Linked DNA regions of Caenorhabditis elegans. The protein of the gene in region 1 interacts with the protein of each later gene in a biochemical or structural test. Each region holds a gene or a part of one and is shown on either strand. Other genes may lie near its edges.

The links.
Region 2: of the proteins of ced-3 (region 1) and lin-28, one has a biochemical effect on the other in vitro, tested with the Caenorhabditis elegans proteins (2 studies listed by BioGRID).
Region 3: of the proteins of ced-3 (region 1) and vha-13, one has a biochemical effect on the other in vitro, tested with the Caenorhabditis elegans proteins (one study listed by BioGRID).
Region 4: of the proteins of ced-3 (region 1) and aco-2, one has a biochemical effect on the other in vitro, tested with the Caenorhabditis elegans proteins (one study listed by BioGRID).

The regions. Positions count from the first base shown.
Region 1 is NC_003282.8:13,198,137-13,205,956, forward strand, and holds ced-3 (Cell death protein 3 subunit p17), read right to left. Parts: upstream 6,002-7,820; 5' UTR 5,931-6,001; coding exon 5,796-5,930; intron 5,733-5,795; coding exon 5,587-5,732; intron 5,309-5,586; coding exon 5,055-5,308; intron 3,867-5,054; coding exon 3,535-3,866; intron 2,623-3,534; coding exon 2,409-2,622; intron 2,355-2,408; coding exon 2,227-2,354; intron 2,154-2,226; exon of another isoform or gene 2,004-2,153; intron 1,873-2,003; coding exon 1,633-1,872; intron 1,157-1,632; coding exon 1,094-1,156; 3' UTR 125-1,093; downstream 1-124.
Region 2 is NC_003279.8:8,407,095-8,412,775, reverse strand, and holds lin-28 (Protein lin-28), read left to right. Parts: upstream 1-1,971; 5' UTR 1,972-1,972; coding exon 1,973-2,113; intron 2,114-2,855; exon of another isoform or gene 2,856-3,044; coding exon of another isoform or gene 3,045-3,092; intron 3,093-3,435; coding exon 3,436-3,642; intron 3,643-4,279; coding exon 4,280-4,615; 3' UTR 4,616-5,144; downstream 5,145-5,681. Other genes in the region: F02E9.1 (Vacuolar ATPase assembly protein VMA22), read right to left, coding at 5,187-5,258, 5,302-5,454, 5,509-5,593, 5,646-5,681. UniProt on the Caenorhabditis elegans protein: Heterochronic protein which controls the choice of stage specific cell fates. Regulates the timing of the second larval stage events (L2 events) in the hypodermis.
Region 3 is NC_003283.11:14,349,987-14,354,961, reverse strand, and holds vha-13 (V-type proton ATPase catalytic subunit A), read right to left. Parts: upstream 3,254-4,975; 5' UTR 3,246-3,253; coding exon 2,421-3,245; intron 2,140-2,420; coding exon 1,911-2,139; intron 1,811-1,910; coding exon 1,044-1,810; 3' UTR 540-1,043; downstream 1-539. Other genes in the region: Y49A3A.3 (tRNA:m(4)X modification enzyme TRM13), read right to left, coding at 20-512; cept-2 (diacylglycerol cholinephosphotransferase), read right to left, coding at 4,518-4,975. UniProt on the Caenorhabditis elegans protein: Catalytic subunit of the V1 complex of vacuolar(H+)-ATPase (V-ATPase), a multisubunit enzyme composed of a peripheral complex (V1) that hydrolyzes ATP and a membrane integral complex (V0) that translocates protons.
Region 4 is NC_003281.10:7,971,914-7,977,887, reverse strand, and holds aco-2 (putative aconitate hydratase, mitochondrial), read right to left. Parts: upstream 4,172-5,974; 5' UTR 4,164-4,171; coding exon 4,086-4,163; intron 4,048-4,085; exon of another isoform or gene 4,042-4,047; coding exon 3,956-4,041; intron 3,301-3,955; coding exon 3,042-3,300; intron 2,973-3,041; coding exon 1,850-2,972; intron 1,791-1,849; coding exon 1,269-1,790; intron 1,196-1,268; coding exon 930-1,195; 3' UTR 639-929; coding exon of another isoform or gene 576-638; 3' UTR 533-575; downstream 1-532. Other genes in the region: C06G4.4 (uncharacterized protein), read left to right, coding at 195-521, 576-638; eef-1B.1 (putative elongation factor 1-beta/1-delta 1), read left to right, coding at 4,618-4,694, 4,813-5,243, 5,291-5,424; F54H12.5 (uncharacterized protein), read left to right, coding at 5,786-5,919, 5,964-5,974. UniProt on the Caenorhabditis elegans protein: Catalyzes the isomerization of citrate to isocitrate via cis-aconitate.

The DNA.
Region 1 (7,820 bases):
TCAGCCTTTAATTTTTGTGCACATATTCTTAATCTGTAGTACTCACTAGGGAATTGTCAGAAGCTTGCATATCATATATGTGCGAAATTTTATATTAGCTTGTTTCCTTCTTTAATTGTTGATTATTTTTCACCTTTGTTTTGTTAACACCTTGTTTTCTTTTATCTATGTATACCAATCACACACACACAAACATACGGCGAGAAAAGCAACTATAATAATCTATAAATATATAATTATAATAACAAGCTATATAAATCTCAACATATATAAAACTTATTGGGTGCGCGGAGAGGAGGAATCGAAGAAAAACGAGGGAAATATAATAAACGTACAAGAGTATTTTGGAAGATAGCGGGAAATTTGAAAAAATTGAAATTTTGGAAAATGGGGTTTCAAGTAAATTTGTGTTGCTGAAAACTCGAAAAATCCATTTTCCAATATTATTTACTGGAATTTCGAAAATTTTCAAATTCCTATTAGAAAGCTCGAATGGAATGGGCTATGAGAAAGATCTTTGCTGACCAGAATCGGGATATCACGGCGAAAAAAGAATGCAATTTGAGATGATGGGCGGGAAATGATGGGGGGGACCTACAAAATTTTATACATAATTGGCCAAATGTTCCGAACTTTAAAAGGCCGGGAGGCATTCCGGCACGGGGAGAGATGGGAATGCTATTCGTTAATTCAAATATTAGATTTTTTGTGGCGAAAAAATAGGTTAAAATTAATCGAAATTGATTCCCGGCAAAAATGAATATGGTACGGTAGGTTGGTGGGGTTGGGGTGATGATCTATGAAACTATTTTGTTGATAGAAGCATAGTACATACATATATACTGGGCACAACAACTAATCAAATTCAAAACGAGTTATTAAAATTATTATGCGTTCGAGACACAAACGTCATAATTTTAGATTATCGTAGAGAAATGGAAATGTGTGAAAATGGGAAGAGAAATGATAGAATGATAAAGTGAAATGAGTATAGGATAACAATATACACATGGTTTTAAACTAATTGGGCGAAAGAGAACTGGGGGAGAAGATACAGACAATTATCAATTGGGCAATGAATCACGAGTGAATTTTAGACGGCAGAGTTTCGTGCTTCCGGCCAAAAGTAGAACTTTTTGAGCAGGCGGGATGTCATCTGAAATTTAATTTAAATTTTGGGGAAAAATCTAAAACCGATACCCTTGTTTTCAAGCCGCACAGAAAAAGAGGCGGAGCGTCGTTTTGCAAACTTGCCGCGCGCCAACCGTGTAATACTCGTGGACAACTTTGAATTAATTTTTTAAATGAGTTAACAATTTTTGGCTTAAATGCTTGATGTTGATGTATTTTCGCTATTTTTTTTTACATTTAAAAATCGATAAATTTCGTTGAAAAACTACAAATTTTCGTTTTCAGTAAAATCCAATGGCTAATAAACATTTTTTACTGGAAACCCGATAAATAGTGACTATTTCAAAATTTAACGCAAAAAAATTAGCATAAAATATTCAAAATCAATCATTTTAGCTAAAAACTAAAATTCTAGGTTGACGCGCGGCAGGCTTGCAAAAGGACGCTCTGCCTATTTTTCTGTGCCTTAAAAAGTTAGCAGATCGATTGTTGTTCAAGTACCTCTGGCATCTGTTTCAAAATATTCGATCCCTGTGATGTCTGAAATCCACAAGCGACCTTCTTATTGACTTCAGTCAGCAGCTCAACAACATCCATATCCTTTGCGTGTGTCGAGAACACTTCACAGACGGCTTGAATGAACCATGATCCACGAGCACTGTTTCTCCACGAAACATATTGAGCTGTCGTTGCGTATGCAATCAGAATGTCAGCTTGGCTCGGCTTCTTTCTCCACACTTGCTGCAAAAATTTATTAATTATCATTTAAAAATGTTTACAGGACGGGGCTTTCGCTCCAAAGAATATAAAATAATCGGAATATTTTTCGAAAAAATTGAAAAAATCAATTTTTAATTTTCGAAAAGGCGATTTTTAAATTCCCTCTAAACTGAAAACTGCGACCAATCAGCAATTCACTCCGCCCACTTTCAAACCAATCCGATGAAGTGGGCGGAGATCGACGATGCTGATTGGTTTGTCATTTTATCACAAATTTCGTAATTATATCGCAATTTTTTCGTCGGACTTTCTGGAATAAAAATCTATTTTAGATTTTTTGAAGGAATATTCTCATTCAAGAAATTAAATTGCAACCTGAACTTGCGGCCGCACACATCCAAGAAAATTGAACAATGGCCCGTCTCGATTGTCCCATCCACGACGAAGAAATGCAGGAACTCCGTCGACAGAATCCAAGACTGGGAATCCATTGTCACGACGTTCTGAAAATGAATTTATTTAAAATATTTATATTAAAATTAAAATAAAAAACGAACCGCCTCGACAAGCCTGCACAAAAACGATTTTCGGCTTATTCGCCAGACGGGGAGCATTTGCCGCGTTGAGAAGATCATATATCTCGTGTGTACTAATCGGTATATCATCAACTCCAATAATCACATTCTCTTCTCCGTGTGATAGAATCACGAGTATCGCAGAATCTCCGTGTGATTCGTGTTTGGCAAAGTCTCGAATTGTCAGGAGCATTCCCTGGAAATTAAATATCAGTTTACATTAGGAACAAGGCTGGGAAATTTTTTGGGTTTCTTTTGGTATTTTGACGAAAAATTGATTTTTTGGTTTTTGGGACCAAAAAACCAAAAAAAAAATCGAAATTCGACTTTTTTTTTGAATTTTTTGGCTTTTCGAAGATTTCAATTTTACTTTTTGGTGATTAGGAAGGTTTATTGTCCAATGGTGCAATTTTTGCGACAAAAACTACGGTACCTGGTCTCGACACGACAAATTTTTGGTCAATGCAAATGGGGTGTGCGCCTTTAAGGAGTACTGTAATTTCAAACTCTCGTTGCTGTGGATATTTTTAAAATCGATTTTTCATTCTCTTTTTCTCGATTTGTTAAAAAAAATTTTGAAAAATCTAGAAAAAATGTTATAAAACTTTTCTAAATCCTTCATGATTTTTTCAAATTTTGCAAAAATAAACAAATCGGATGAATAACTTTTGAATTTGAATTGTGACGTTGTTTTGATTTTTATTGCTTTTCCGGAGTGGTTTTTAAAGTTTTTAAAAATACATTTCATATTGAAACACCGTTTGCCAATTTTCACAAATTTTAAATTGTGCATTTTTGGATAATTTTGAAAATTCAGAAAATTGATTTCGTGCTATCAAGTTTTGTATGCGGAAAATTGTCTGAAAATTTACAAACGGTTTTTTACATCAAATATTATAGAAAAACTAAGAAAAAACACATAATGTAGCCGGAAAAAACGAAAATTTCGAAACTAGGTAAATCATTTTCGCGGAAGTTCAAAATTTTGTTTTTTGCAAAATTATACATTTTTGCATTTAACACAAATTGTCGTGTCGAGACCGGGCGCCACATTTTCGGCGCAAAAATGGCAAAAATTTCGCGTTTGGGTAATATAATTTCGCCGTACCCTTCCCGTCAGATTGTCCTTGCAAATAACCGTATAGCCCATGCATCTGAACAAATTGGTAAGATTGTCCTTGTCGGCCTTGGTACCATTCCGTGTTGGCATCTGCTCAAAGTGTTCATTATTTATGATGAGGCACATTCCACGAGGACTCGAGAAGTTTCTGTACATGGTTTTCTCGTCGAAAACACGGCTTATGGTTGGTGCATCGACAAAGTTCATATCCTCTTCATGGAATATGTATTGAGTTGGTCCAGAAGCTTTGCTGAATGAGCGATTACGACTTGAACTGTATCCGAGAGAAGAGCATCCGGTGAATGAAGAGTTGGCGGATGCTGAAATGTGTTGGTTTTAGGATCGATTTTGATACCCAAATTTCCTCTTTTTTGACGTTTCGCACATTTTAATTTCGCAATGTTTCATTCAATTATATCCTCTAGAAATTTTGATTTCCCTTTTAATTTTCTACATTCATGTGATGTAGAAAAATGCAAAAATGTATTTTAATGCATTTTTTCAATTTTCGCAGAATTTTTGATTTTTTTCAGGTGTTTCGCACATATTTTTGCTGACTTTCATTCAAGATATGCTTATTAACATCTATAATTATCAATAAAGGTAATATCTTGAAGAAATTTTGGTTTTCGCTCTAATATTCTCTACTTTTTAAGTTGCTCAACGAAAAAATAATGGGGTTAATCATGTGATGTTGAAAAATACAAAAAATGTATTTTAATACATTTTCCCCCTATTCATTTGTGCAGAAAAGTGTAAAAAAACGCATGCATTTTTTACATTATTCGACATTTTTTTACATCGACCGACATCCCATTTCACATGCTGAAGACGAGAGACGCAGAAAGATGTGTGGTATTTCTCCGCGTCTCTCGTCTTCAGCATGTGAAGTGAGCTGTCGTTCGATGTAAAAAATGTCGAAAAATGCATGCGCTTTTTTACATTTTTCTGCACACATGAATAGGGGAAAATATATAAAAAATGCATTTTTCGTCATCATATGAACAACCACATGATTTTTTCGTTGAGCAATTTCAAAAGTAGAGCATACTAGAACGAAAACCAAAATTTCTACAAGATATTCACATTAATGATAATTATATGTGTTAATAAGCATATCTTGAATGAAAAAAATCAAAAAATCTGCGAAACTTGAAAAAAGCGTTTTGGCACATGTTAGATGATTTTTTTTCAAAATGTTTAAAATTCTTTTCAAAATATCTTGAAGCGAAAACTACTGTAACTCTTTAAAAGAGTACTGTAGCGCTGGTGTCTGTTTACGGAAATAATTTATTAATTGATCAAAAATATCAAAAGAAAACACAAAAATGACAAATTAAAATTCGTTGTCACAATTCGAGCATATATTCGTTTCGAAAATCGAGCCCGTAAATCGACACTACAATAGTCATTTAAAGGGTTACTGTATTTTTCGCTACGAGATATTTTGCGCGTCAAATATGTTGAGTAATGCGCATTCTCAGAATTTAGTGTTCGCATCAACATACAAGGTTGGCTGGGAAATGCGTTGACTGGAGGAGATGAATAATTGTGTCGATCCGATGAATGAAGTGCACGCGATCGAGAACGAGATCTTGCTCTTGAGTAGATATCCTGATAAGAAGTGAATGATGACACTGAAGAGACGCTGTCACGGTGAACTCGGGTCGGTGAAGTGTAGCCGGCGGGGCTCAATGCGCGGCTCCGACGATGGCTTGCCGGTGACATTGGACACTCGAATTCGACAGCATTCGAGTCAACACTGGAAAAAAGGGATATTTGAAGGAGATGTGTGTGTGTGTGTGTGACAAGTATTTTCGGCAAATCTACAAAATGGCCTTTTGCGCCACGAAAATTAGTGTTAAAAAATAAATAATCACTCGAGCTTTCAGTAAATAAAATATATTTCACTTCAAATATTTGGGAAAGTGCATAATTTCCGATTTTCGGAGGAAAAAACCGTGCCGGTGGGTTGCAAAATTACGATCCGCCTCTTTTTCCGTGAGACCCTTGCTTTTGCGCCGAACTTTAAAAACCTACGATCTGGCGAGAGGTTCAAGAACTTCAGCAAGTCCTTCGTGTCCCGTAGAGCGAAGAGCATCATAAAACGCGTCGAACGCCACATCTCCCCGTCGTTGCACTGCTTTCACGATCTCCCGTCTCTTCTCGCGAACCGTTCCACATGACTGCAAAAATATTCTTTATATTATCAATTTTTTTTTAAAATTATTATTCGATTAAAAACTCACATTAATCATATCTCCATTATCACTATTCAACACTTGTTTTGCGATGAGAACTTCGAGAATTTCATCGACTTTTAGATGACTAGAGAACATCATAATGTTCCTCTCTAGCAAGCTCCTTCTATCTTGACGCATCATCTTCGGCTGATGGTTGACCTCTCTACTGACCCGTAGTCAGAGTACGATTTGATTTTCGATTTAGTCTGAAAATGAGTGAAATTATTGGAAAAATAGTGTTTTTTTTTAAACATTGTCCTCAAAATTCAGCTCGATTTGAGTAATTTTTATCGATTTTTTTCCTAGTTTTCGTCAAAAACTCCAACAACTGCACTGAACTACGAAAAAAAAGGTGAAAGTCAGTAAAATCGGAAAATTTTGACCCTCTTGAATTTTTTATCTTGATTTCTGGCGAATTTTGGGGTTTTTTTTTGTTAAAATTGTTTTGAATCAGTTCTCTTTTATTTTCGCAAACATAAAACACAATTTTCAATGAGAAATCGTTATTTTTAATTTGAAAACTGATTTTTAAAATGTTTGTTGTGTTTTTGTTTCTGTTTGTCAGCCTGGAAAATATTAGAAAACTGATTTTAAAAATTTTAACAGAAAAATTCACGAAAATTTTAGTAATTGAATTAAAAATGCAAGGAGAATTTAAAAGTCTATCAAACTTTTTGCGTGCCGAGACCCATTGGAATAAATCCGTGCGCCTTTAAAGAGGAATGCCAAAATCTTGTGAAATTATTACGGAAACACAAAATTCAGAGAATGCGTATTACGCATCATATTTGGCGCGCAAAATATCTCGTAGCTAGAACTACAGTAATCCTTTAAATGACTACCGTAGCGCTTGTGACGATTTACGGGTTGTCAAAATTCGAAAAAAAAAATTATTTTCAAAAATTGAGCCCGTAAATCGACACAAGCGCTACAGTAGTCATTTAAAGAATTACTGTAGTTTTCGCTACGAGATATTTTGCGCGTCAAATATGTTGCGCAGTACGCATTCTCAGAATTTTGTGATTCCTTAATACGATAATGTCGAGCCGATTTAAAAGACTTTACCATTTTTTGTAGTTTTCGGTGCTATTATGATAATTTTACGATAAATTAATACTCAAAAATCGGAATTTTAGCGGAAATATTATAAAAATAAGATGTTAGCACACGAAGAGAAAGTGCTGCGAAGAAATCATAAACATTGAGAAGATATTCTTATGGATTGTATATATTGCGTAACAATTTGGAGAAAGTTTTTGGCCGGTTTATTGCAAATTTCGCGGAAAAAAAAGTTTATGATGGGCTCGTAAGCATGCCGATGAGAAAAGAAAGTGGATTGTAGCAGCAGCAATATGAGTCACCCATCTGGACAGTTCACATTTCTAAACGATAATTGAGACGGAGCAGGTGGCATCACGGAAGAGTGTACCGAAAACAAAACCGGGACAAGTTGAGGATACCAAGGACGACAGGAAAATGATGAAATGTGGTACAAAATGAACCGGGCGTTTACCCTGAAAGCTCCTGATCTCATCTAAGATTCCAACCCCGTCATTTGCCTCCATGCACAAATATAATGCGATTTGGATTGTTTAAAGCATTGAAATTGCGACAAAGAGCTATAAAATCGAAAAGAGCATACCAAATGAGATACACACTGCTTTCCTAAGTGGGTTTCGAAGAACACCGCCAAAGAGGTGATGGAGTGGTGGGGCTAAGGAAGAAGGTGCCGGAGAGGTCAAACATGTGGAAATCTTAGGATTGTTTTTGTTTCACATTAATTGCCCTCGTAAATTTATTTTTGGATTTGAGTATCGAAAATCTATGAGCCATGAACACGGAGCGGTGAGGTAAAGGTAAAGGTTTAAAAGTAGTTTTATTAGTAAACTAATCGTTTTTCACATAAACAGTGGTTTTTTTAAACGAAACAATGCAAAAACCAAGGTTAAATATTATAAAATCGACTTCGAGAATCTCAGAATCTTTCTGGCAACAATAAATCGGCGAGCCTTTTCTTCAATTGATGTAATA
Region 2 (5,681 bases), on another chromosome or scaffold:
AAAAATCGGAGATATATTTAAAAAATGAATGTGAATACGAGAAATCAATCAAAATAAACAATTATTCTAAAAAACAAATCGATAATTGAAACTTCCAGGTTACGGTAGTTTTAAAGGCACACAACAATTCACTTGCTTTGGGTCTCGCAGCGCATATGGTTCACTTTTTGAAAATTTTATTCTGAGCTTGATTTTCTCCATTTCAAACATGTTTTATTTAATTGAATTTAAGATTTATTTGTGTTTTCATTGTGAAATATTTATCCGAAAGTCTCACCAAGACATTTCTCGATATCTACTGCCATAAAACCCATCCAGCATTCCTGTCTGTCCGATCACATCTCGGAGCGCTTTTCTGTTGAAAAAACCTTGGCATTGAAAAATAGCGTGTGAGATGAAGAAATACAAAGAAAACAAGAATAGAGAGGAAACGGGGCACAAACGAAGAGACAAGAAAATGATGTGTGCAAGGCGTTTGTGTTTCGGTTTCAACACTATTTAAAATATTCGTTTTTCTTTTGGTTTCTGGGTTTTGAAACCAGTATTTAATTATAACTTAAATTTTTCAAAAGCTAGAAAATCATTGATAAAAGCTTTTTTTTTAATTTTTAAGTTATTTTCGATTCCGCAGAAAATCTTTTGCACTATGAAATCAAAAAGATACCAATCATCAAAAACCTCTGAATCTCATCTCTTTCCCGTCGAAAAAATAACATAAAACATTCGTTGCCACCAGATATCCACCAACTGTTGATTATATCAGATCATCTCATTTTTATCTCCATTCCATCACTTCAAAGCCTCTTTGCAACGAAGGTGAGAAAGAAATTGAAAATTCTGCTTCTCTTCATCTCTTCTCACCGTTCTTATCTGCTTGTCAGTTCTTTTTTTGCGGCGGTTAAATATCATTCAATTTTCAATTCATTTTCTTATTCGACAATTCTCTCCTCTGCACCTAAGATCACCTGCATCACGTTTAATCCAATATGGGTGGTTTAATCAAGTCTTATAGAAAGAAATATGAATAGCTGGAAATTGATATTTCTTTTTTTCTAACTTGGAAACAACCTGATAATACATTAGTTCAAATCGAAATTTGGACTTTTGGAATAATTTGGAAAAACCAAATGCAGATGTAGAGGTGAAATAAAATTACTGTTCCAAAAAAAAAAAAAATACTGTTCCATGCTCATTTCTTTTTCCAATTTCTTTTCCATCTCCTATTGATACTGAATAAGTGATTCCTTTTTTCCGATATATCGCCCTCCGGCGCCCTGCTCCCCTTGTATAATTTCTCTTTATCTCTACCACTCTCCCCACTTTCAATGATCACTTTTTGTCCTGGCGCCTGACCCTTCGTCCATCCGATGCCGTCCATTTTTCATCTCTTTTTCTCTGCATTTCTCCATTTTTATCATACTATTTCCGTTCATTTTTCTTTTAGTATGGTGTAGAAATAGTTGTTCACGGTGGTTCAGTTGCTAGATGGGTGCAAACGCGCTCCACCGAACAAACATGCATAACTTGGCAGGGAAGTACAAAATCAAACATTCATCACAAATAAAGATAGATAATTTCATTGCGGTCATTTCTTATATGCATCGCAAAATCGACTTTGTGACGGTTTTCGAGATAGTAGCCAATATATGTTTCCAGACTGAGTATCATGAACAAACCCATCTAGTTTCTGTGCTACCGGGTGTTGATGGACGCTACTGCAAGCGCGCTGTGTTGAGGACAATAGATGATTGGCGCGGTGCCAACATCATCCGTTTGTTCAGTTTTGACATTTTCCAATCTTGCTTCTATTTGAATTTATAGTTTCTTTCTATAATTTTAATTTCATCATCGGAAGTTCAGCAATGCTTTTAATTAAAAATCTCACAATTAAGTACTGAACTACATATATGTATATTACTTTATTTAAATACGTGACGATTCTCAAAAAAAAATTTTAAAAATCTTTTTCAGGATGTCGACGGTAGTATCGGAGGGAAGGAATGATGGGAATAACCGATATTCACCACAAGATGAAGTTGAAGATAGGCTGCCAGATGTAGTTGACAATAGGCTTACTGAGAACATGAGAGTTCCTTCCTTCGAGAGGCTCCCGGTAAGTTTTTAGTTTTTTGTTTAGAATTATAAAATTATCTAATTTCCGAAAATTTTTCGTTTAAGCCAAGTTTTAATTCTCAATTTTTAAGCATAGTTAATTATAAAACATTTTCGCAAATGACTCTAAAATTAACTTTGACAATTCAATCAAACCTTACTGAATCTATCGAAACCCAGAAACAGTTTTATTTTGGTTTCTGGTGTTCCAATTTTTAGATTTTCAGAAATTTTCGGTAAATATTTTTGTAACAGTTTTTAGTTGAAGACTCCAAATATTTTTTTTGATATTTCGAAAATGTCAGTTAAGGATTTGGTACATTTCCTAAAATTTTGATCTTATTGAGAAATTTCTAGCATTGTTACACTTTTTATGATGATAATCGACCATTTAAGCATAGTACAGATAGTTTCAAACAATTTTGGAATTACTCTGACTTTGAAATTTTTTTTTTAATTGTAGAAACTTGTTTTCTTAGAATTACGCATTCTTACAAAAGATATAGAATGTTCATAAGATGTTTGAGTCGATTTCCCATTAACTGCAGGTGCATTTCATTCTTCCATCATCCGTAAATCATTATTTGGTATACGGTATCTCTCTCCTTTCTAACACTTCCGCGCGGAATAAAAACAGAGATTCAGAGAAATAGAGAGAGGTCAGCTGAGAAGAAGAAGTGTCGCGCACACAGCTCCTCGCCCAATGCCCTCCTGTCGGTTTCTCTGTGAACACTCCACATTTCAAATGATCTCTAATTCAGTTCCTCCACCGCTCACTCATCCTTTCCTCGAATCTCTGGGTTTCCTCGCCACTCTTTTTTTCTCTGTGCTCTCTCTCACCCATTACTATTATTATTTGTATGTGTGGTATTGTTGTTCTGTATATTTGATAGGTTGTATTCTCTAGTTAACACATAGTTCTAATTAGAACAATGATTGAAGCCGCTTTGGAGAATCCGGTGCCCATCAAATCTCAATTGGTATGTAACTAATTGAAATTGCAACTGAAAAAATATCACTGTTTATTTATTGATTCGATTGTAAATAGTCTCGAATTTCCAGTGACGATTCGGGGTAAAACCGGAAAAAAAGTAATTTATAAATAAAAGTCGGAGCGACGAGAAGAGCTTTAATTAAAAATATCTTAACGGTTTAGCAATTTAAAAAAAATATTTAGTTACCTAAATACTTTGAGAGTGGATTATTTATGGTGTTAAAATGAGGAAATATTACTGAAAACTCAGTAAATTAAAAAATTTATATAAAGAAGATGTCAATTAATAACTGCGTCATAATGCCTTTCAAATAATTTAATTTTTTCAGTCACCAACACCTCGATACTTTGGCTCATGCAAATGGTTTAATGTGTCGAAAGGATATGGTTTTGTGATCGATGACATCACCGGTGAAGATCTATTCGTTCATCAGTCTAATCTCAATATGCAAGGATTTCGGAGTCTTGATGAAGGAGAACGTGTATCATACTACATTCAAGAGCGATCGAATGGAAAAGGTAGAGAAGCTTATGCGGTTCGTTTTATTTTTATTTTTTCTAACAGCAAAAGTTAAAAAAAAGGTCAGCGTTCTTTAAATTTGTTTTTTCATCAAAAAAACCTGACAAAAATCAAGCATAATTCATAAAAGCTTTTCCTATTCTGTCAATTAGAAAGTATATTAGTTCTTACGAATTCTCTTTAATCTTTGTCAGTATTTTTGAAAAATAATATTTAAAAACTAAAAAAAAACGCTGCTTTAACCTATATTTTGAATGCGAGAGAAACTTTGCTTATGGTATTTTTGCGCAATTTATTGAGATACGGGAATCCGAAATTCTGAGAATGCGTATTGCACAACATATTTGACGCGCAAAATATCTCGTAGCGACAACTACAGTAATCATTTTAATGACTATTGTAGCTGTGTCGATTTAGGGGCAAAAAAAACACGAAGAATAAAAAAGAAATATCGCTGTCACTATTCGAAAAGAATTTCATTCGAGATCGTAAATCGGCACTAGCGCTAATTACAGTAGTATTAAAAAAATTACTGTAGTTTTCGCTACAGGATATGTTGTCAATGCGCATTCTCAGTTTTTTGTTCCAGTGCAATATTAAAGCAAAATAATAATGTAAATTGAAAATCCAACTCAATTTTATACAGTTTTCAGGTATCAGGAGAAGTAGAAGGACAAGGACTGAAAGGAAGCCGAATTCATCCATTGGGTCGTAAGAAGGCTGTCTCACTACGTTGCTTCAGATGTGGAAAGTTTGCGACTCACAAGGCGAAAAGTTGTCCAAACGTAAAAACCGATGCAAAAGTGTGTTATACCTGTGGATCCGAGGAGCACGTGAGCTCAATCTGTCCTGAAAGACGACGAAAGCATCGACCGGAACAAGTTGCCGCAGAGGAAGCAGAAGCTGCGAGAATGGCAGCTGAAAAATCATCACCGACTACATCTGACGATGATATTAGAGAAAAGAATAGTAATTCCTCTGATGAATAGAATCATCTAGACACTGAGAATATTGATAGAGAAATAATGGAATATATGGTCTCAAATAGATTTTGTCTCGAAATTCTTGAACATCCAAATTTAAATGTGAAAATTTTAGGAAATAATTTTGAGCTTTCTGATAGTTTTTCAGCTTTTGAAATGTATTTTATTTTGAAACCAATATTTATTTCATTTTCTGTCTCATCTAATTCTCAGTTTGCATGCGTTACTTTAACTTACACACTAACTCTTTTTTTATTCAAATTTTGATGTTTTTTTTTCAATTGTTTTACTCAAATTTCCCCTCTAAACCATACTACCACCTACCTCCTCAAATTGCACTCTCAGGGATTCTTTTTTTTTTCAAATAGAACTGATTGCACCTGTTTTCAGGATCTATAAATCTTATAATATATTTAACTTTCGTGTCTTTTCATGTTCATGTATTTCTTGCTGAAATCCATCATTTTCTCTGAAAATCTCTACTCGTAAGTTCCGCTATTGCGGGCGAACGCTGAAATAAATCGAGAGTTTTGTTTTTATATTGATTGAATACATATTTATCACAGAATCATGCAATTTAACAATCCTCAACAAGTTGGCGGGATTTGGCAAGAATTGATTGTTGGGTGGATACAAGGTCGAGAATCGTCTGAAAAATGGATTTGAAATTAAATTCCTGAGATTTTCAATACCTGAATAGAATTTCTATAAATTTTTCGAGCGTCCTTTGCAGCAGCCGGCTCAAGAACCCCAAACGGACGGAATTGTCCAGAAAATGTTTTTTTGGCTTCTTCAACGTCTTCTGATTCTCCGCTATTCTTCTTTTCTGATTTATTCTCGTCCTTCTGCAAAAAATTTAAATGTAAATTTTTGTGGAACAAAAAACGATTGCAAAAAACCTTTTTCTTATTCTTTTTGTCGTTTTTCTCTTCCTCATTCTCTGAATTTTTGAGAAGTACAAATTTCCCGTTTTTCGTATCCAATCTAAAAATGAATACACTTAAGTAAGTATAATTCAAAAAAAAGTAGTTTATACCTGATAGATGGCTCCAAATCGTGTGTATCGACAGAA
Region 3 (4,975 bases), on another chromosome or scaffold:
GAAATGCATTTTATAAAACCTAAAATAGACGAAATCTGGTATAATTGCTTCTTTTTCGTGTTGTTCAGATCTGAATTTTGTGCGATATTTTGCTCGACGAGCTCATTTCTTTGTTGCTCAACAATCAAACGATCCATTACATCCGTCTCATAGCACTTCCAGATCTTGTGCACAGTGGTACAAATCTCATCTTCAGTGGCTCTTCGATCAATTTTATCGGTGCGTTTGGTCTCGCCACGAATAGAATTTGCATCAATTTTGATATATTCTGCATCTCTGATTCTAGAATTACACCTTGTCAGATGAATCTCTAGATCTGCCTTCAGAATCGTATGTTTTCCATCATTCGGGCAAACCATACGATCAGTGTTATTCTGATCGTGAATTGAATGCTCTCCACAGAACCGATTTCCCTTTTTCACCAGCATCTTACACCGTCGCTTCTTAATTGGTAGAATATATTCACAGCAAGCGTTCTGCTGTTGTTGCTGCTTCACCGAATCCAATTCCATTTTGAAAACGAGACCTGCGTGCGAGATATTTGTGATTTTCCTAAAGTTTATTGCTATAGTTGAATTGGTGTGTCTCAAAAGTATTATACATATCACAACACAGTAAAACGTGGTTCGTAAGACTATACGGGTTGGTTGTCGCAAAAAAAGAAATGGAAGGGCACAAGTAAAGTAGTCTATTCAACAAGAAGAATACCAAAAATATTGATTAATATAAGTGAAATTGTTGTTTAAAACGGGAGTTGTAAGGCGACCAGATACATTGTGTGTGGTTGGAATTTTTTGAAGTTTAGAAATCTACAAAAGAGAAAAAAGGTGCAATAAATATCTGAAATTTGGAATGTCAAATCAATCAAACACTTTAAAGAGGATAAAAGTAGAGAAAGGAGGCGAATTGGGTGAGGGGATCAAGGAAAAACATATACTTTTAACTAAAAAGTACACGCTCAGCAAAACTGAACAGAATCTAGCGGGGAGGCGAAAACAGAAACAAACAAGAGAATCAATTTTAAAATTTCTAAAAACATTAATTTAATCCTCGAGGTTTCTGAAAGCGTTAGCCATAGCCTCTGCCAAATCTTCGTAATCCTTGCGAATCTTGGCTTCACCATCGGCAACTGGATCCTTGAATTTCATGGCAGAAAGCTGGTAGATCAAATCTCCCATGCTATCCTTGATGACGTTCCATGTGATCTTGTTATCAGATTGAGCAGTTGCTTCAACAGCATGACGGGCCAAGTCATAGAATCCAATCATATTCTTGAGCATACCGACAGTCTTGTAGAATGGGCAGAAACGATCGTATTTGGTGTATCCGTTCTGTTGCAAGAAATCGTCCTTGATGATCTTGGCAACCTCAAGTGTGACCTTGTCTGATTCGGCGAGGGAAGCTTTTCCGACGAGTTGCACAATTTCGGAAAGATCTTCTTCTTCCTGGAGGATCTCCTTGCACTTGGTACGGAGTGAGACGAACTCTGGGTAGTTCTTCTCGTAGAACTCCTCAAGAGCACGCATGTACTCGGAGTAGGAAATAAGCCAGTTAATAGATGGGAAATGTTTACGTTGAGCAAGCTTCTTGTCAAGTCCCCAGAACACCTGTACGATACCGAGGGTGGCGGATGTGACTGGATCGGCGAAATCTCCTCCTGGTGGTGATACGGCTCCGACAATGGTGACGGATCCTTCACGTTCTGGAGATCCGAGACACTTAACACGTCCGGCACGTTCGTAGAAGGAAGCGAGACGAGCGGCAAGGTAAGCTGGGTATCCGGAATCGGCGGGCATTTCTCCGAGACGTCCTGAAAAGAAAATTTGAAAATGTTCAGAGAAATTTCAAAAATATTAAGAAAAAAATATGAATTTCAAATATGAGTATATTTTAAACGGATTAAAACTCACCAGAAATCTCACGAAGAGCTTCGGCCCAACGAGAGGTAGAGTCAGCCATCATGGCAACGTTGAGACCCATGTCACGGAAATATTCGGCAAGGGTGATACCAGTGTAGATGGAAGCTTCACGAGCAGCGACAGGCATGTTGGAAGTGTTGGCGACAAGAGCTGTACGCTTCATGATGGAAGTGGTGACACCTTCGACCTCCATGGTGAGCTCTGGGAAATCACGGAGTACCTGAAAAACAGAAAAAATTAGAATTGTAAAAAATAGGGGCAAAATTGTTAATTTATAATTTAAATGCGGGACAAAACATTGGAAAAAGTAAGAAACATAAACCTTTTAATTTTTAATTGTTTTCTAAATTTTATTCTTAAACGAAACTATTCTGACTAAACTTTTTCACAATTTTTTTTTGAAAAATTAAAACTATTGATTCCAAAAACGAAATTATGGAAAGGCTTTCTTGTTTATTTGATTTTTTCTAATGTTTTTAAAATTATTTTCAAAAAAATTACCTCAGACATTTCGTTTCCACGCTCTCCGCATCCGACGTAAATAATAGCATCAGAGTTGGAGTATTTGGAGAGAGATTGGGAAATGACAGTCTTTCCACATCCGAAAGCTCCTGGAATGGCGGTGGTTCCTCCTTGGACACATGGGAACAAGGCGTCGAGAACACGCTGTCCGCAGAGAAGTGGATTGTTGGCAGCGAGCTTCTCTGTGACTGGTCTTGGAGATCTGACAGGCCAGATTTGGAGCATAGAGAATTTCTGCTTGCGTCCGGCGAATTCGAGCTCGAGAAGGGTGTCCTCAACTGTGTATTGCCCGGATGGAGCAACGAAGGTGATGGTTCCGCATGCACTTGGTGGTAGAAGAATCTTGTGCTTGATGAGCAAGTTCTCATCGACGGTTCCAATGATGTCACCTCCGGTCACGTGTCCTCCAACACGGAGATCCTTGGACACAACGAAGTCCCAGCGAGCTTCACGAGAAAGAGCATTAGTGGAGACTCCCTTTGGAATGTAGATGGATTGAGTAATATCAGCAATATCCTTGAGTGGACGCTGAATTCCGTCGAAAATCGATCCCATGATACCTGGTCCAAGTTCGACGGAAAGTGGTTTACCGGTACGAAGTACTGGATCTCCGATTGTGACTCCAGATGTTTCCTCGTATACTTGAATAGTGGCGTAGTCACCCTCGAGACGAATAATCTCTCCGACGAGCTCTTGATGTCCTACACGAACCAACTCGTACATAGCCGATCCAGCCATCTTCTCGGCTGTGACGACAGGTCCGGACACTCCGTAAACGAATCCGTACGAAGATTCTGCGGCCATCTTTTCCTGGAATGAATGAATTTAGAAAGCTATATGGAAATCGAAAAGAAAATCAAAATAAACCTCGTTTTTCAACAAGAAGACCGAAAAGACAATGGAATTTTTAGGTTTAGAAGTAGGAAAACTCATTAATTCGAGCAATAATGCAAAATATAAAATACAAAGAATAGATATAAAGTGGCAGGGCAATGTTTAATCGGATAAACTTGAACCCTTATAAATATTCAACGAGAATTGGAATATAAATCAATTTATCATTCAATTTACAAGAACTTTTGTAAAGGAAAAAATCAAAGTAAAGGTAAACGAGACAAAAAAACGAGTAATTCCTGTGACTAAACGGGGGGAGAGAGATGTGGTAAAAAAGCTCACAGAAGTTGTTGGAAAAAGCGGAAGATGTGGAAGAGAGCGCACTGCACGGCATTCTACAACGAATAGAAGTGGTTCGATTGACAAGGAGAAACGTCGGCAGGCTAGCGAGAGACAGCGCGCCGAGAGCAGAGAGCAGATAGAGAGAGCGTGGCCGTGGCGGTCGCAAAAACCAGGAACCGCCGGTCGTGCGACTAGAAATCATCGCCGCGTTGCAGCTTCGCCCTATTGAACCGAGAATTTTATACAGCGAGGAGTGAATGTGAGAGAGTGAATTTTGTGTGGCAGAAGTTGTGTAGGTTTACGTCTATCTAGGTAGCGGGGAGAAAAGGTTACACGTCTGTCATCAAGCGAAATTTGATAAACTAATGTGGAAGCGAAGTTACTCTATTAGATAGGAAAAATATGATTTGCGAGGTTTGAGCGGAAAATTTATGTTCGTTTGGAACTATTTTCAAGTTATTCGCCTTAACAATTGGACCACAGTATCATTATAACAATAGTTGTTTTCTAAATTTCGATTAAATAGATACGAAAAAAAAGAAAAATTATATCCGCAAACTCTGAAAAAAAAGTTAAACCAATATTTCCATACAGTAATCTCTTCAAAGGCACAGGACGCTCAAAAACGAAAGGTCTCGCAACGAAAATGTAATTTTCTCCCCAATTTGCTCATTCAGTTATTTAGAATTACGTAGTCGTTAGAATTCTTGAAGGTTTAGACGATGAGACAAAAAAAAAGATGAAAAGTGATTGATCTGTGGTTGTGATAAGAAATTGAGACCGCGACGCATTACGCGTTGCACTTCAAAACATTCCTTTTCCGCTCATAAACACCCGCATTTACAATTAAAATTACAAATTACTATAGGTGAAAAGCCATATTTAATTATACAATCGAAATTACTTGCTACTTCCAGCTCTTGGTGCAGTGACTTTGAAACAATAAATGCCCATATGGTCGCAAATTTGGCGCGTTATGAATAAACAGTAGACTAAAAGTGATGCATAAACGTAAACAGTCGTGTACTTCAGAAGAGTTGGCTCATTGATTTTGATGTCGTAGTATTGATTGATCATCAATGCGATTGGCCCCATGTAGATCCAATCCCAAAGTGAGAGCTCACTTCTGCTCATGTGTGCAACAATCAGACGATTTGTGGCTTTTGCCGCAACGGCTCCAAATTGAAGAACAAATATAACAATAAGATCATCATAGACGCCAGATGCCGATTTGCTGTAGATCATACAATATGGAACAATGACTGCAAGAAGTGGGCAGGCTGGGAAGAGAACTGATGTTCCAGCAACAGTTGATCCATTCTTTCCAACACCATCTGTGAAGATGACTGATAAGTAGC
Region 4 (5,974 bases), on another chromosome or scaffold:
ACATTTAAAAATTAATCACGCGAAAAAGTATATTTCCTACGTAAAGTTTATAATATTCGGTTCAATTACTTCATCATAAAATATTCAGTTCTTCGTTTTTTATCACTCAATACAAGCTAATTGAAAAGGTGAATTTATTGGATTTATTTTTCTTTCCTAATTTTTTCTAACTTGCAGCTGAATCCACTTCGATAATGTCAGAAGCACCGAAGAGAAGCGAAAAATCTGCTGATTATAAAAAAGCGGTGGCAAAACAGCGACGCATTAAGAAACTTCGCAAAATGAAGATTAAAGATAGAGCTGGTGACGTGGTTGTCAGTGATATTTCTGACGTTGAAGTTGTTGGAAATGGTGATGAAGAATCACAGGATGATTGGTTGAATGATCTTCTGAAGAGTGATGGTGATGGTGGAAAAGCCGGACCGGTTGATCCTTCGCATCCAATGGAAACCACAACAACTGATCATTCTTCACAAAACACTCTGGCATCAAAGATCTGTGCATTCACTTATGATAACTCGGTAAATTTGGATTTAGCTTTCATTTGAGTATACTCCAATCAGTTTATTTTAAAGGCTCTTCTTGGCGTTGGAATCGTCACGGTGGCCCTCAGTATCTTCGCCCGTCTTCGTAAATGATCAATAAATGAACAAGAATAAATAGTTGTGTCTTTTCATGGAAATAAGAATCAATTACAAAAAAACGAAAACGAAACAAAACAATATCTACTCATACATAAAAACAATCTCATGGAGGTTGTGATGACTACTATGGGAAAATTGGGAATGAACTGAAGTATTTAGAAAATGTTTTTCACTTCTCTAATGAATTTTCAAAATACTTCAATTCAGTATACATTACATTACAGTTTGTTGAAAATGAGTATTTACTACAGGTTTTGAAGAGAAAATAGTTTTCCAATGAAACATTTATTTGCTCTTTGCGAATACTTCCTTCATTCTGTTGAGGGCAGATCCGGCCTTGAACCACTCGATTTGTTGCTCGTTGAAGGTGTGATTCAAGGTCACTTCCACCTTTGATCCATTGGTCTTCTTGAAAATAGCCGTAAGTGGCTTTCCTGGAGCAAAACTGGAGAGTCCGACGATAGAAACATTGTCTGATGGATCGATTTTGTCGTAGTCAGCTGGGTTGGCAAATGTGAGTGGGAGCATTCCTTGTTTCTTCAAGTTCGTCTCTGAAAAAAATAAGTTATGGCGCGTTGAGGAAATAAGCAAGGTAAATTTTATTTATTTTGAAGACTAACTGACCGTGAATACGGGCGAAGGATTTCACGATGATAGCTCTTCCTCCAAGATGACGTGGCTCAAGAGCAGCATGTTCGCGAGATGAACCCTCTCCGTAGTTCTCGTCTCCGATAGCAACCCATCTAACTCCATCAGCCTTGTATTTGCGGGCAGTGGCTGGAACGGCTCCATATTCTCCAGTAACTTGGTTCTTGACCTTGTTCATCTCTCCGTTGTCAGCATTGATAGCCGTAAGGAAAAGATTATTCGAAATGTTGTCCAAATGTCCACGATATTTGAGCCATGGTCCAGCAGCAGAAATGTGATCAGTAGTACATTTTCCGGTAACCTTGATGAGGATCTTCATATCTTCGAGGTCCTTTCCATCCCACTTGTCGAATGGAGACAAAAGTTGAAGACGATCAGAAGATGGAGATACATCAACCTGTCCGCTTCCAGATGGGGCTTGGAATGTGTCCTCTCCTGGATCGTAACCCTTTGGTGGAAGGTCGAGTCCAGTTGGAGCCTGGAGTTTGAATTTGCTTCCTGAAATGATAAACGAGGTTGAGTAATGAAAAAATATAACTATTCAAAATGTTACTAACCATCAGCGGCGGTGAGCTCATCAGTAAGTGGATTGAAGTCAAGACGTCCGGAGATGGCCATAGCAGTTGTGATATCTGGAGAAGTAACGAAACCGTGAGTGGCTGGGTTCGCATCATTTCTTCCGGTGAAGTTACGGTTGTATGATGTGACAATTGTGTTTTTTTCTCCCTTCTTCACATCCTGACGATCCCATTGTCCAATACATGGTCCACAGGCATTTGCGAGAACCATTCCTCCGAAATCAGCGAAAATCTTGGAGAGTCCGTCTCTTTCAATAGTGGCACGGACTTGCTCGGATCCTGGGGTGATGGTGAAAATGGTCTTAGCCTTGAGTCCCTTATCAAGAGCTTGTTTGGCAATGGAAGCAGCACGGGTCATGTCTTCGTATGAAGAGTTGGTGCATGATCCGATAAGTGAGACCTTTACATCGAGTGGCCATCCGTTCTTCTTGGCGTTTTCTCCAAGTTTGTCGATGGAAGAGGCAAGATCTGGAGTGAATGGTCCGTTGACATGTGGAGTAAGAGTGTCGAGGTTGATCTCGATGATTTGATCATAGTTAGCTCCATCGTCAGCAGTGAGGAGATCTTTGTACTTTCTGGCTTCTTCGGCGATTTCTTTACGTCCAGTAGCTTCCAGATACTTGTACATGCTCTCGTTGTATGGGAAGACAGATGTCGTAGCTCCGATTTCGGCTCCCATGTTGCAGATGGTTCCCATTCCAGTTGCAGAAATAGAATCCACTCCTGGGCCGAAATACTCAACAATAGCTCCAGTTCCTCCTTTGACAGTGAGGATATCAGCAACCTTCAAGATAACGTCCTTGGCAGAAGTCCATCCGTTGAGCTTTCCAGTGAGTTTGATTCCAATGACCTTCGGGCACTTGAGCTCCCATGGAATATCAGCCATAACATCTACAGCATCGGCTCCACCAACTCCAATACAAAGTCCTCCAAGTCCTCCTCCGTTAGGTGTGTGAGAATCAGTTCCGATGAGAAGAAGTCCTGGGAAAGCGTAGTTCTCAAGAATGATTTGATGGATAATTCCAGATCCTGGCTTCCAGAATCCAACTCCATATTTGCTTCCAGCAGTAGCAAGGAAGTTGAAGACTTCTTTGTTGAGGTCCTAGAAATCGAAATATATTTAGGGTGAAGAAAATTTAAGTAAAATAATTTTTTCGCAAATATCACAAACCTTAGCACGGGCCAAATCTTGGGCTCCACCCTTTTGAGCTTCAATCAAATGATCGCAATGAATAGTTGATGGAACAGCTGTCTTTGGAAGTCCGGAGCTGATGAATTGGAGCATAGCCATTTGAGCGGTAGCATCTTGCATAGCAACACGATCTGGACGAAGACGAAGGTATGAAACTCCTCTCTCAATATCTTGAGTTTTTGGTTGATCCAAATGTCCATAGAGAATCTTTTCGGAAAGCGTCAATGGACGTTTCAATCTGAAACAATATATTTTTTGTTTTTATCAGTAGAAAAACTAAAATCTATTTTTAAAGTTTTTAGTTAGACTTAACGATGTTTCCTTCATGAGTTCAAAGTACTGTCACACGGCAAATATCACCTCGGCTTCAAAGTTCGACCAGTCTGGAGACTAGAGAATGTGGTCCACATGAATTTCTATGCAACGTTCAACTAGATAATTTTCATAATTTCTATTGTGACATCACAATTAATGACACCAGAAATTAGATTTTGCATCATCAAAAGTTGAAAAGAATAGTGATGTACACTTATGAAACTGTATTATGGTCAAAACGCCCTCTCACAACATGTTGACATTAATCAGAGAACAGAGATGGAAAAGATTCGACGTTTTCTTGGTTCTCTCAATGACGCTCTAACCCATCTTCTTATTACAACGGAACTCTGTTTGTTTCTCTCTGCGACCCTTGGCTTGTGACTGCGATTTGGGTGAGCTTTCACTATTCGAGAGTTAGAAATAACATAAAAGAACCTATAACTGAACTGTATGTGTTGTAATGTCAGTGGCGCACATGACTATTCACCATAAACATCATTAATTGTATGATAACGAACAGAAAGCAGTGAAGATACTTTGTACTTGACAAGCTAAACAAATTGAACTTTACACACCTGTCTTTCACAATCTTCACAGTCTGAGATAGTTTCTCGTACGGGAGGTACGACTTCGGCTCGAATTTACTGATTGCAACTTTGCTCTGAAAACAAAAGATTTATAATAATTATGCTTAGGTTTGAATACCCAGATGGACGAAGAGGAGTGAAGTGCGCGATAATGTGCAGGTCCAGCCAAGTGGCTCAACCGAAGAAGAGAATTCATGGTTTCTCCTGTAAATTACAGAACAATGAAAGATTTTCACAGAAATTCCTGTCCGACAAAGGGAAAGAAATAGAACCTATTTAAAAAAATTAAAAGAAAGGATAATATTCATAAACACAGGCCTAAAACTTAATTTGGAACAATTAAAAAGCTTTTCTCTGCAGTAAATAACCCCTCGGAACGAAAACAAGTGATTCCGCAGCGAACCGAAAAGAAAATGATAACGCATCGGTCAGCAGAGACGGCGTGCATGCCGAAAATGAATGGGAGGAGAAATGAAAGCGCGAAACTTGGGCGCCTCCGGTCAGCAAACACGCCATTGAATGATCACTGGCGCTATGCTCGTTTGAAGGCGCATGGGGTTTCGACAGACTTTGAGTCTCGCAACGATTTTATTCACTAACCTATTTGTAGGACTTTTAGCATCATTCCTTCGTGTTTCACTCCTGAAAAGATGGTTGCCGACGTCAAGAGCCCAGCTGGACTTGCTGCTTTCAACACTACTCTCGCCGAGCAGGCTTTTGCCACTGGGTTAGTCTTTAAATTCTGAAGTTATGCAATTTTTAGGAAAAAATGCAGAAAATAGGTGTAATCAACTCTTGTAAATTTTTCAGATAGTCTATTCATTGAAATAATTTGAAAATTATAGCTTCGTCTTGTCTGGAGAGGACGCCCAACTTTTCGCCGCTCTCGGATCCGCCCCAAACGCCTCCACCTATCCAAATGTTGCCCGTTGGTACGCTAATGTAGCTTCTTACACTGATGCTGAGCGCAAGACCTGGGCTTCCGCCGGAGGATCAGCTCCAGCTGCCGCTGCTGCTGATGGAGATGACTTCGATCTTTTCGGATCCGACGATGAGGAGGAAGATGCCGAGAAGGCAAAGATCGTTGAGGAGCGTCTCGCCGCTTACGCCGAGAAGAAGGCCAAGAAGGCTGGACCAATTGCTAAATCTTCAGTCATTCTTGATGTAAAGCCATGGGACGATGAGACCGACCTCGGAGAGATGGAGAAGCTCGTTCGTTCTATCGAGATGGACGGACTTGTCTGGGGAGGAGCTAAGCTTATCCCAATTGGATACGGTTAGTGGATTGAAATTCACACAATTAAAATTTATGTAAACTTTCAGGAATCAAGAAGCTCCAGATCATCACTGTTATCGAGGATCTCAAGGTTTCGGTTGATGACCTCATCGAGAAGATCACCGGAGACTTCGAGGATCACGTCCAATCCGTCGACATTGTCGCCTTCAACAAGATCTAGAGGAATCTTTATATTTCTTGTTATGTTTTCATCAAGATAAATGAACCCATATATTGCAAAAAATGTTACAACATTGAAAGAAACACTCTGAGCATCAATAAGAAATCCTCCCGACTACGAAAGCGAAAAAAATTGTTTTTTAAAGAACTATGATTAAATTAGAAGCACAGTTCATTCTCTTCTGAAAATCGTATGAAGTCTCATAATTGCACAAAGTTACGATATAAGAATAATTGGAAGGGGTAGACTGAAGTGGGCAGGGTCACCACTATACAGTCCAGATTCCCGTTCGCAACGAGACCATATATTTTTACCTTGTGGGAAAACCAATCGATGTTTTCTAATAGTAAGTAGACCCCGCATGCTGTTCATCTCGAGATCTCTTCTCCCCATTTTGTATTTCCAGTTATTCAAAAAAATGTCACCTTTTCGTTTATTATCACTTCCTACACTTGCTTTGAAGAATGTACTTCTTCATATAGACTTTATTGATTTGTAAGTTAATACTTTATATAATAAGACAAACACCTTGAATTCAGGTTGGAACTAT